Struthio camelus: one gene and its partner. The main gene of each other region encodes a partner of the protein of the gene in region 2 in a complex. Links are inferred from orthologs where the notes say so. Each region holds a gene or a part of one and is shown on either strand. Other genes may lie near its edges.

The links.
Region 1: GTF2F2 (region 2) and POLR2B share a complex: the UniProt entries of both Homo sapiens proteins name them as parts of the TBP-based Pol II pre-initiation complex. The link is inferred for Struthio camelus from reciprocal best matches to the Homo sapiens genes GTF2F2 and POLR2B.

What each region holds. Positions count from the first base shown.
Region 1 is NC_090945.1:3,516,216-3,520,119, forward strand, and holds the start of POLR2B (DNA-directed RNA polymerase II subunit RPB2), read left to right. Parts: upstream 1-1,418; 5' UTR 1,419-1,623; coding exon 1,624-1,642; intron 1,643-2,066; coding exon 2,067-2,139; intron 2,140-3,710; coding exon 3,711-3,861; intron 3,862-3,904. Other genes in the region: NOA1 (nitric oxide-associated protein 1), read right to left, coding at 342-1,281. UniProt on the Homo sapiens protein: Catalytic core component of RNA polymerase II (Pol II), a DNA-dependent RNA polymerase which synthesizes mRNA precursors and many functional non-coding RNAs using the four ribonucleoside triphosphates as substrates.
Region 2 is NC_090942.1:190,911,261-190,915,164, reverse strand, and holds the start of GTF2F2 (general transcription factor IIF subunit 2), read right to left. Parts: upstream 2,937-3,904; 5' UTR 2,735-2,936; coding exon 2,669-2,734; intron 1-2,668. UniProt on the Homo sapiens protein: TFIIF is a general transcription initiation factor that binds to RNA polymerase II and helps to recruit it to the initiation complex in collaboration with TFIIB.

The DNA of each region.
Region 1 (3,904 bases), on a different chromosome or scaffold from region 2:
AGCTTGGCTTTGCATATGACTACTTTACGGGTGCTCACCAGCCCCCCTCCCAGCTGCCCTTTAGCCCGGAGGGCATCCCCGATTCACAGGGAGATGGCAAGGCATGCAGATCAGGGAGGACCAGATCGCCTGCTTCCCAGAGCGTGTGCGAGTCAGCCCCCTCCGCGCTGTGACACGCGGCGGCGCCATGAGATGGGCAAACGCTTCACAGGGGGCTCGCACTGCCCCGGGGCGCCAGGCAGCGGGGCCACAGGCCGAGGCTGGGCCCAGCGAGCGAGCCTCCCGCCGGGGCTGGCTGTCCCCCACGTGCCCAGCAGGACCTCGGTCACAGCAGCCCTGACCTGGCCAGGGTGAGACGGTGGCACGGTCGACGACGTCGGGGGCGCGGGACTTGCAGAAGTCGGAGCGCAGCAGGGCATTGAAGAGCGTCGACTTGCCCGAGTTGGTGGCGCCCAGCAGGTAGACGTCGCCGGCGCCCCGCCAGGAGCGCTGCAGCCGGCTGACCAGCCCTTCGAGGCCGAAGCCCGTCTTGGCGCTCACCAGGCAGACGCCCACCAGCGGGGCCCCGCGCAGGCCCGCCTGGGCGCAGGCCGCCGCCACCCGCCGCCGCAGCCGCCCCAGGTGCCCGGGGCCGTCGCGGGGCAGCAGGTCCACCTTGTTACCCACCACCAGGACGCCGGCGGCGGGGGTGGCCGGGCTCAGCAGCGCCGGCAGCTCGGGCAGCAGCGGGTCGGGCAGCTCCAGCACGTCGAGGAGGTAGAGGAGGAGCGGGCCGCGGCCGTGGCGCGGCGGGCGGCGCAGCGCGGCGCTCACCACGAGGCGGTGCCGCTCCGGGGGCAGCGCCAACCGCAGCGCCCGGCCGTGGTGCGCCAGCAGCCAGCAGCGCTGGCACACGGCGGCGCGCAGCCCCGCCGCTCCGCCCGCTCCGCCCGCCAGGCTCCGGTACTTCTCCGCCGGCAGGAAGCCCGGCGCCGCGCCGTCGCGGCACTGCAGCTCGGCCCCGCAGCCCGAACAGCTCACGCCGCTCGGCGGCACCGACGGGTCGGGCAGCCCCGCCGCCGCCGCCGCCCTCGGAGCCCTCCGCTGCCGCCGCCGCTCCCCGCCCGGCTCCGCCTCCCGGTGGGGCGCCGCCGCCTCCCACCGCACCGGCTCCGGCTCGTACTCAGGGAAGACGAACTGCTCCTCCTCGCCGCTCGCCGCCGCCGCCCCCCGCCGCGGCACCGGCCGCCAGGCGCGAGCCCGGGCCAGCCCGCCCGTGAGGGCCCGGCCCAGGCGCTGCATGGCGCGGGCGAGCGCCGCCGCCGCCACCCGCCGGCGGCCACAGGCTCCGCGCGCTCCCACGCGGCTCCGCCCCGCCCGCCGTGCGGCGGGAAGAGGAAGGGCGTGGGCGCAGCAACCGCGCATGCGCCTTCCCCCGCGGTGCTTCCGACGGGGCGGGGCGGGGCGGGGGAAGGGAGCGGGCCACGGTTCGGCCCTGCGCGAGGCGGCGGTGACGCCTGCTAGGTGTGTGCGCGAGGCGCGCAGGCGCCTCCCCCTCCGTCGGCGGCTCGGTAGTGGTGGCCCGCGCTCTCTTCGCCTCTGTGTCGGCCGCCGCCGCCTGCGGCCTTCCCTACTGCCGCCGCCATGTACGACGCGGACGAAGGTGAGGGCGGGCGGCCGCTCCCGGCCTGAACCGTTATCCTCTTCGGCCGGCCCCGGCGGAGGGGCCAGGAGAGCCGTTGGGCTCGCCCACGGCCTACCAGGGAGGGTGGGAGCAGGAGAACCGTTGGGCTCGTCTACGGCTTACTTGGGGGCGGGGGGGGGGAAGAGCCGTTGGGCTCGGGTCGCGCACTGCCCGCTAGGGGGTGGGGGCGGGAGAGCCGTTGGGCTCGCGCGGAGTCCGCGTTTGGGGCTCGGTGCAGACGGGGGAGCTACCGGCGCCGGCGTGAGGGGCTTCCACAGTCTCCTGCGGCCATGGGCGCTGCCGGGGTGCCCCTCTGCCAGTCGTATGCCGGCCCCGCGTTAGTAGGCAAGTAGAGGTAACGTGGATATCGAAGTCTAACTTGCACGTTATGCTTCCTGGACAGATATGCAATATGATGAAGATGATGATGAAATCACTCCTGACTTGTGGCAAGAAGCATGCTGGATTGTTATTAGGTGACTTTCTAAAATTCACTGTTCTTTACGCTTTGGGTCTTAAAGGTAGTATCTAGTTTGCTAGCAACACGTGATGGAAATGCAAGAATTGTTTCTACTAAATAATATGTTTCGTTACTTTTTGAACAGAAGGGCTTTAAGCAGAAACAGCAAGGTTTTGACTGCTGGCCCTGTATATACACTGTTAGGGATTAAGAAGCCCTACTTACTCTCAGTTCAGCTAGGCTATCTGAACTGAAGTACGAAATTATTTTGATCCCAAATCACGCACATCATCTTGCCCGTTACTCTCGCAGTGCGTGCTGACATTAGGAGATCAATACTTAGCAGTTTGCCATATTAGTGTTTTATTAGTACTACATGAAGGCCCAGGCTCTGCAGCTTCTTGCGCCTCTGAGAGAGTGGAAGGCTGTGTGGAACTAGGCAAAAAGTGTTTCTCTTTGTGTCTTAGAGCAGCAGTTCCCAAACGGAAGGGCGTACCTGCAGCGCTAGACCTGTAGCCTCTCTGGGTAGAGAGTAGGGATGAGAAACCTCGGAGGCAGAAGGAGGTCCTTTCTCTTGTCTGGCAGCCTGGTGATGAGCGTTAAATTTATTCTGAATCAGGTGGGAGGGAACTGGGACAAATCCTTCAGCTGGGGCTAGAGCTCACTCCCAGTAAGGATTTAGGTTGCCCTTTCCTTCCCTTCCTCCTTCCTTTTGTGCAATGGCAGGCTATGCTGACAGGGTGCACTGTGGCAGCGGCACAATAGGCAAGGCTATGTTTCCGTTCTTGGAGAAGCCTGAAGTCACTGATAGGGAGGTAGTTGTTACAAGTTTTCTGCAGAGGTCTTGTAGGTGAAGGAGCAAAAGCTGGAGTAAGTAAGGGTTCCCTGGCTGGCTTCAGGAATGCAGGGTCGTGGGAGGAGAGGAGCTTGCTGGCAGGAGCTAATGCAGTGAACGTGTTTAGATCATCCCATTAGAAGCTAGGCTGCGAGCTTGGCATTCGGGCTTGGATAGCTACAATTGGAGTGTTTTGGTAGGTGAAACAAAGGTTAGACGGAATCCAGAAGCTGCTGGAAGGGGTGAAGCTGGAAATTTCTGTGTGGCTGGAACAGAGGTGATCTGAGCTAAGAAAAGTTCTGAGAACTGTTGTCTTGAATGAGGGGCCTACAATTGTATGCTCTCAGTTTACTGCAGCTTGGGAAATGATCTGCAGCAAAGTAATTTGTCATGTGCATTGTAGAAGATATTAGCTGAAGCTACCTTTACTGAGGTTTTAAGTCATCCTGTTTCACTTCTAATTTGAGATAAACTGTGCATACAGCCATGGCTTAACCAAGAAGGGGCAGCAAGTCTGTCACTTTGTCGTGTCTATGCCTTCAAATACTGAGAGAAAAAATTTAAGTTTTTAACAGTCCTGAGCAGCTGTGTTTGAAACTTGTGCCTCAAGAAAAGTCAATGCTTGTATTTTGATATTGTATTCCAGGACTCCTGAAGGTTTGATAATAAACAAGTCTTGAACTTGTCGATATGTGGAGTACGTGAGTTAACTTAAGAGCTCTTCTTGAATAATATACTTTTTTTTTTTTTAGCTCCTACTTTGATGAGAAAGGCCTAGTCAGGCAGCAGCTGGATTCTTTTGATGAGTTTATTCAGATGTCTGTGCAGAGAATTGTTGAAGATGCTCCACCAATTGATTTGCAAGCTGAAGCCCAGCATGCCACAGGAGAAGTGGAAGAGCCAGTAAGTGGAGACCCTGCAGAGCTATTTTGGTTTTGCAATGCAA
Region 2 (3,904 bases):
TACTTTACACACACGTGTATAACTAAGAATTCTGATAATATTTCCCTACCCTAGTTTTCCCTGAAAATACAGAAAAAAAACTATTCAAGTTGCTTTCTAGTTTTGTACAAAAGAGACTCACCCTATCTCTTGTACTTCCTCGTACTGCTCATGCTCCCAAACTACTCATCACTATGGTTTTTTATTGTCTGTTAAGTAGTCTCTCTGGAGTACTTCCTGGGCTAGCATAATACAGGCTAAAAGGAAATTAAATAAGCTTTTTTTTTTGGAGTAGATGTTATTGCTTTCTCCCTCAAAGCAAGGATAAATTCAGCCTAGTTATCCTAACTAGTGAAGAGAAAAAGTACCGTTGCTTCCAAGTTTAGATCCAGAGGAATCCAAAGGACAAAAACCTGCATGCACCTTCCTATGGTCTACCAACGGTATTGACTTTGGAATTTCTTTTTTTTTTAAATATGCCAGAAGACAGCCAAATTGTAAATTCAGACCATGTGCATGCATGGTTATGTTGAAAGAATATTAGACATCAACTTGGAAGAACAATAAATATTTAAGGGTTCTTGCTAGCCCAGCTTTCTCATTAAACTAGGCAGCATCCTGTGCTCACAGAACGATATCCCCTATAAGCACAGACATGCCTGAAAACTCCTGGCTCGCTTCAAAAATGACTAACCCATGCCAGACTAATAGATAATCAAGTTCAGTACCCTGTCTCCAACGTGGCCAACAGCAGACACTTCAGGAAGAGCAGGAAAACAAGAGAAGAACAGGTATTTCCCCACTACGCTCTTCCAATTTCTGCGGGTTTTGCCTCAGCACTTCTTGAGGAATGGGAACATCTCCACTTTTAATATCTCAGTACCCTTTTCTTGCATAAGTCGGCCTAATGGTTTTCTGAGCCTGTGCAAAGTTTTGATGTTCACGCACCCTACTGCAACAAGTTCCCAAACTTAATTATGTATTGTGCAAAAATGCTTGCGTTGAACCCCCACCTAATGCATCCCTAATTTGACACATTCCTAATTCTTGTGTTAAGATTGATTCTTCTCTATTCACCTTCTCCTTGCAACTCCTGACTTTATAGACCTCTATCAGACTTCCAGATCCCTCATCTTTCCAGCCTGGATTAGCATATTTAGGAGGTCTTTGCAGAGGCACGATTCCTCGTGTCTCTGATCATTCTTGTTGCCCTCCTCTGTACCTTTTCTAGTTCTACCATATATTTTTCACAATGCGGAGGATAAGAACGGAACCGTATACTGTATTCATGCTATATAAGGCTAAAATAATATGTTCTGTTTTGTTGTCTTTCTTTCCTAATAATGCCCAATGTTGAATTTGCTTATTTGACTGCCACTGACATGACAGTCGCAGAACTATCTTTATCTATTGTAAACCCAAGATCTCCTTTCTGAATGACAATAAGCAGATGAAACCCAGCCACTGTGCAAGTATAATAATTAAAATAATTTTTCTCTATGCATATCATTTTACTTTTTTCAGCTTTAAATTTCATCTGCCCTTTCATCAACCAGCCACTCTCGATCATGATATACTTCTGCAGCTTTCTGCTATCAGTTTTCATTTTTATTGTTCTGGGTGCAGAGTTTCACAAAACCAGACATTCAGGTATCACTATGAAAGAGGAAGCCAGATGCACTGACCTACCAGATGCACCACCACCACCACACTTGCTTTGCATTGCAGGACTTCTGAAATTCCCCACTATTTTTTCAAGAGCCACAATAACAGGTTTTGGTAGTTGAAGAAAGATGCTGTCACACCCTTCCCACCACCCAGAACCAATATTTTGGTCCTCCCCTGTCTCCATGGGTTCTCTCATGCTGTTCTGGGCCTGCTCAAGTGGTCCCCAAAGGCAGAAGAGAAGGATGTTACCATTTCTTCCCAAATGCTGGTCCAGAAAAATGGGGGTACCCCTACAAAGGACCAGAAGGAGGCCAGGGCACATACTCCCCCAGTGGCTAGCGAGCCTCCTCTTTCCTGAGCCAATGCTAGCTTGCTGTCGGCAAAAACAGTCAAGTGATTTAGACAGATGGACCTTCCAGAAAATAAGGCTGATGCCTAGGAAGTGATGGCCTACTTAGTGTCAGCACACACAAAACTGGCCCTGCTGCTCAAAAGGTGCTTGTTTTGATTCGATGATCTTTACGCCAGCGCTCTCTTCCCTTTCCCACTGACTCTGCTAAAGCTTCTCTCCTCAAAGGTGGGCTGTAGTGACAGGAGCAACATAAAGAACACAGAAAAGTTCCCTTTGGTTTTTAGCCAGGATATAAACTTGGAAGTTCTCAATTTCATAGATCTGAGGGAAAATAAAAGTTAGAGCACCTTACTTATGATCCTTAATAAAACTAAAAGGCAGTTCTTAGGTCACCTGCTTTTCCTTAATTCACCTCAGCACCCACCTGGGAAGCGCTCTCTTGCTGAGTCCCCGCCACCCCAACCCTCTCCCCAACGAGGCGGCCGAGCCCCAAACACGCAGCGCCCGCGCGGCGCCCCGGCTCGCTCCCGCCGCTTCCCCGGGACCCCTCAACCCCCGCCGCGGGCCCGAGGCCCCGCTGCCGCCCGGCCCGGCCCGGCCGGGGAGGGCAGGGCAGGGCCCGGCCGCCACAGGCCGCGCGGGGCCGGGGGTGCGCCGGCGGCCTCTCACCTTCACCAGCCACATGCCGGTGTTCTGCTTGGCCCCGGTCAGGTCCAGCTCGCCCTTCTCGCTCATGGCGGCGGCGGCCCGGGCAGTCCCCGCCGACCGGAGCGGCGCCGGGCAGCGACGGGAAGGGAAACGGGTGCGCGCGCGGAACGAGCGGGGAGGCGCCTTCCTGCTCCCGCGCTGCGGGGCCACCGTCCCCCGCCGGACGCAGATGGGAACCGCACCGCGCCGCGCGCAGACGGTGGCTCGCGGCGGACCAACTTCCTCCGCCCGGCGTGGCGTCAAGCGCAGAGGGGGGCGGGACTCCGGCTCCGCGCTTGGCGGAGCCGCGGGTTCGAGTCCCCGGGCCGGCGGCCGTGCGGGGGGGCTCCTAGGCCGAGTGTGAAAATGTCGCGGGGAGGGGGGGCAAAACGGGAAAGGCCAAGGCCGTAAAGGAAGTGGGCAAACGAGGGACAAGAAGTGATGGTCAGAGCGAAGGAAAATGATTCCCCGCGTTTGTGGTACAAACGTGACCGAGGAAGCTGGTGGCTCTCCCATGAGCCGAGGAATAAAACTGTCTGAACATGCCTCTGACAAAGCTGAACTGCTTAAAAACTGCAGCAGGTTACCTGGAACAGGACAGCAACCCCGTTAGCAGTTGCGGTAATTAAAAAATAAGGTACTAAGCTGAGATAAAGCTGCGTGGTTTCAGATCGTCCTGTCCCACCGAAGGTGGTCCTGGCTCATGAAATCTGCCATCGAGAGCAATTGCAGTCGCCCAGGAGGGTGGGTGGGCGGGCAAGCGCAGCCCCGGGCTTTAAAACAGGGGGAAGGGACGGTCACAGACCTGCACACGTGGCTTCGGTTTCTGGAAAAATATTAGATCTCTCAAATAATGAGAGAAATTATTTGAAAGGACCTAGAAGAAAACAGAGACGAGAAGCGGTTAAGATGGACTGGTGAAGAGCAACATGTCATACCAGTCTGATTTCCTTCCGTGACGGGGTGAAGTGACAGATGTCGAACGTCTCCACCAAAGTCAGACTTCTGATATTAAACCCTGTGACATTTTGAGAAGCTATCTGGAGAAATCGGTCTAGATGAAGCTGCTATCGATTGATGAAAAGCTACTCGGAAAGACCGTGCAGCGGGAGAAGTTATTAATAGATGACTATCAAAAAGAAACAATATATGTGTGGTGCTATCCTCGGTCTAACTTTGTTGGGCAATTTCATTTTTGACTTGAATGATGAAATGATA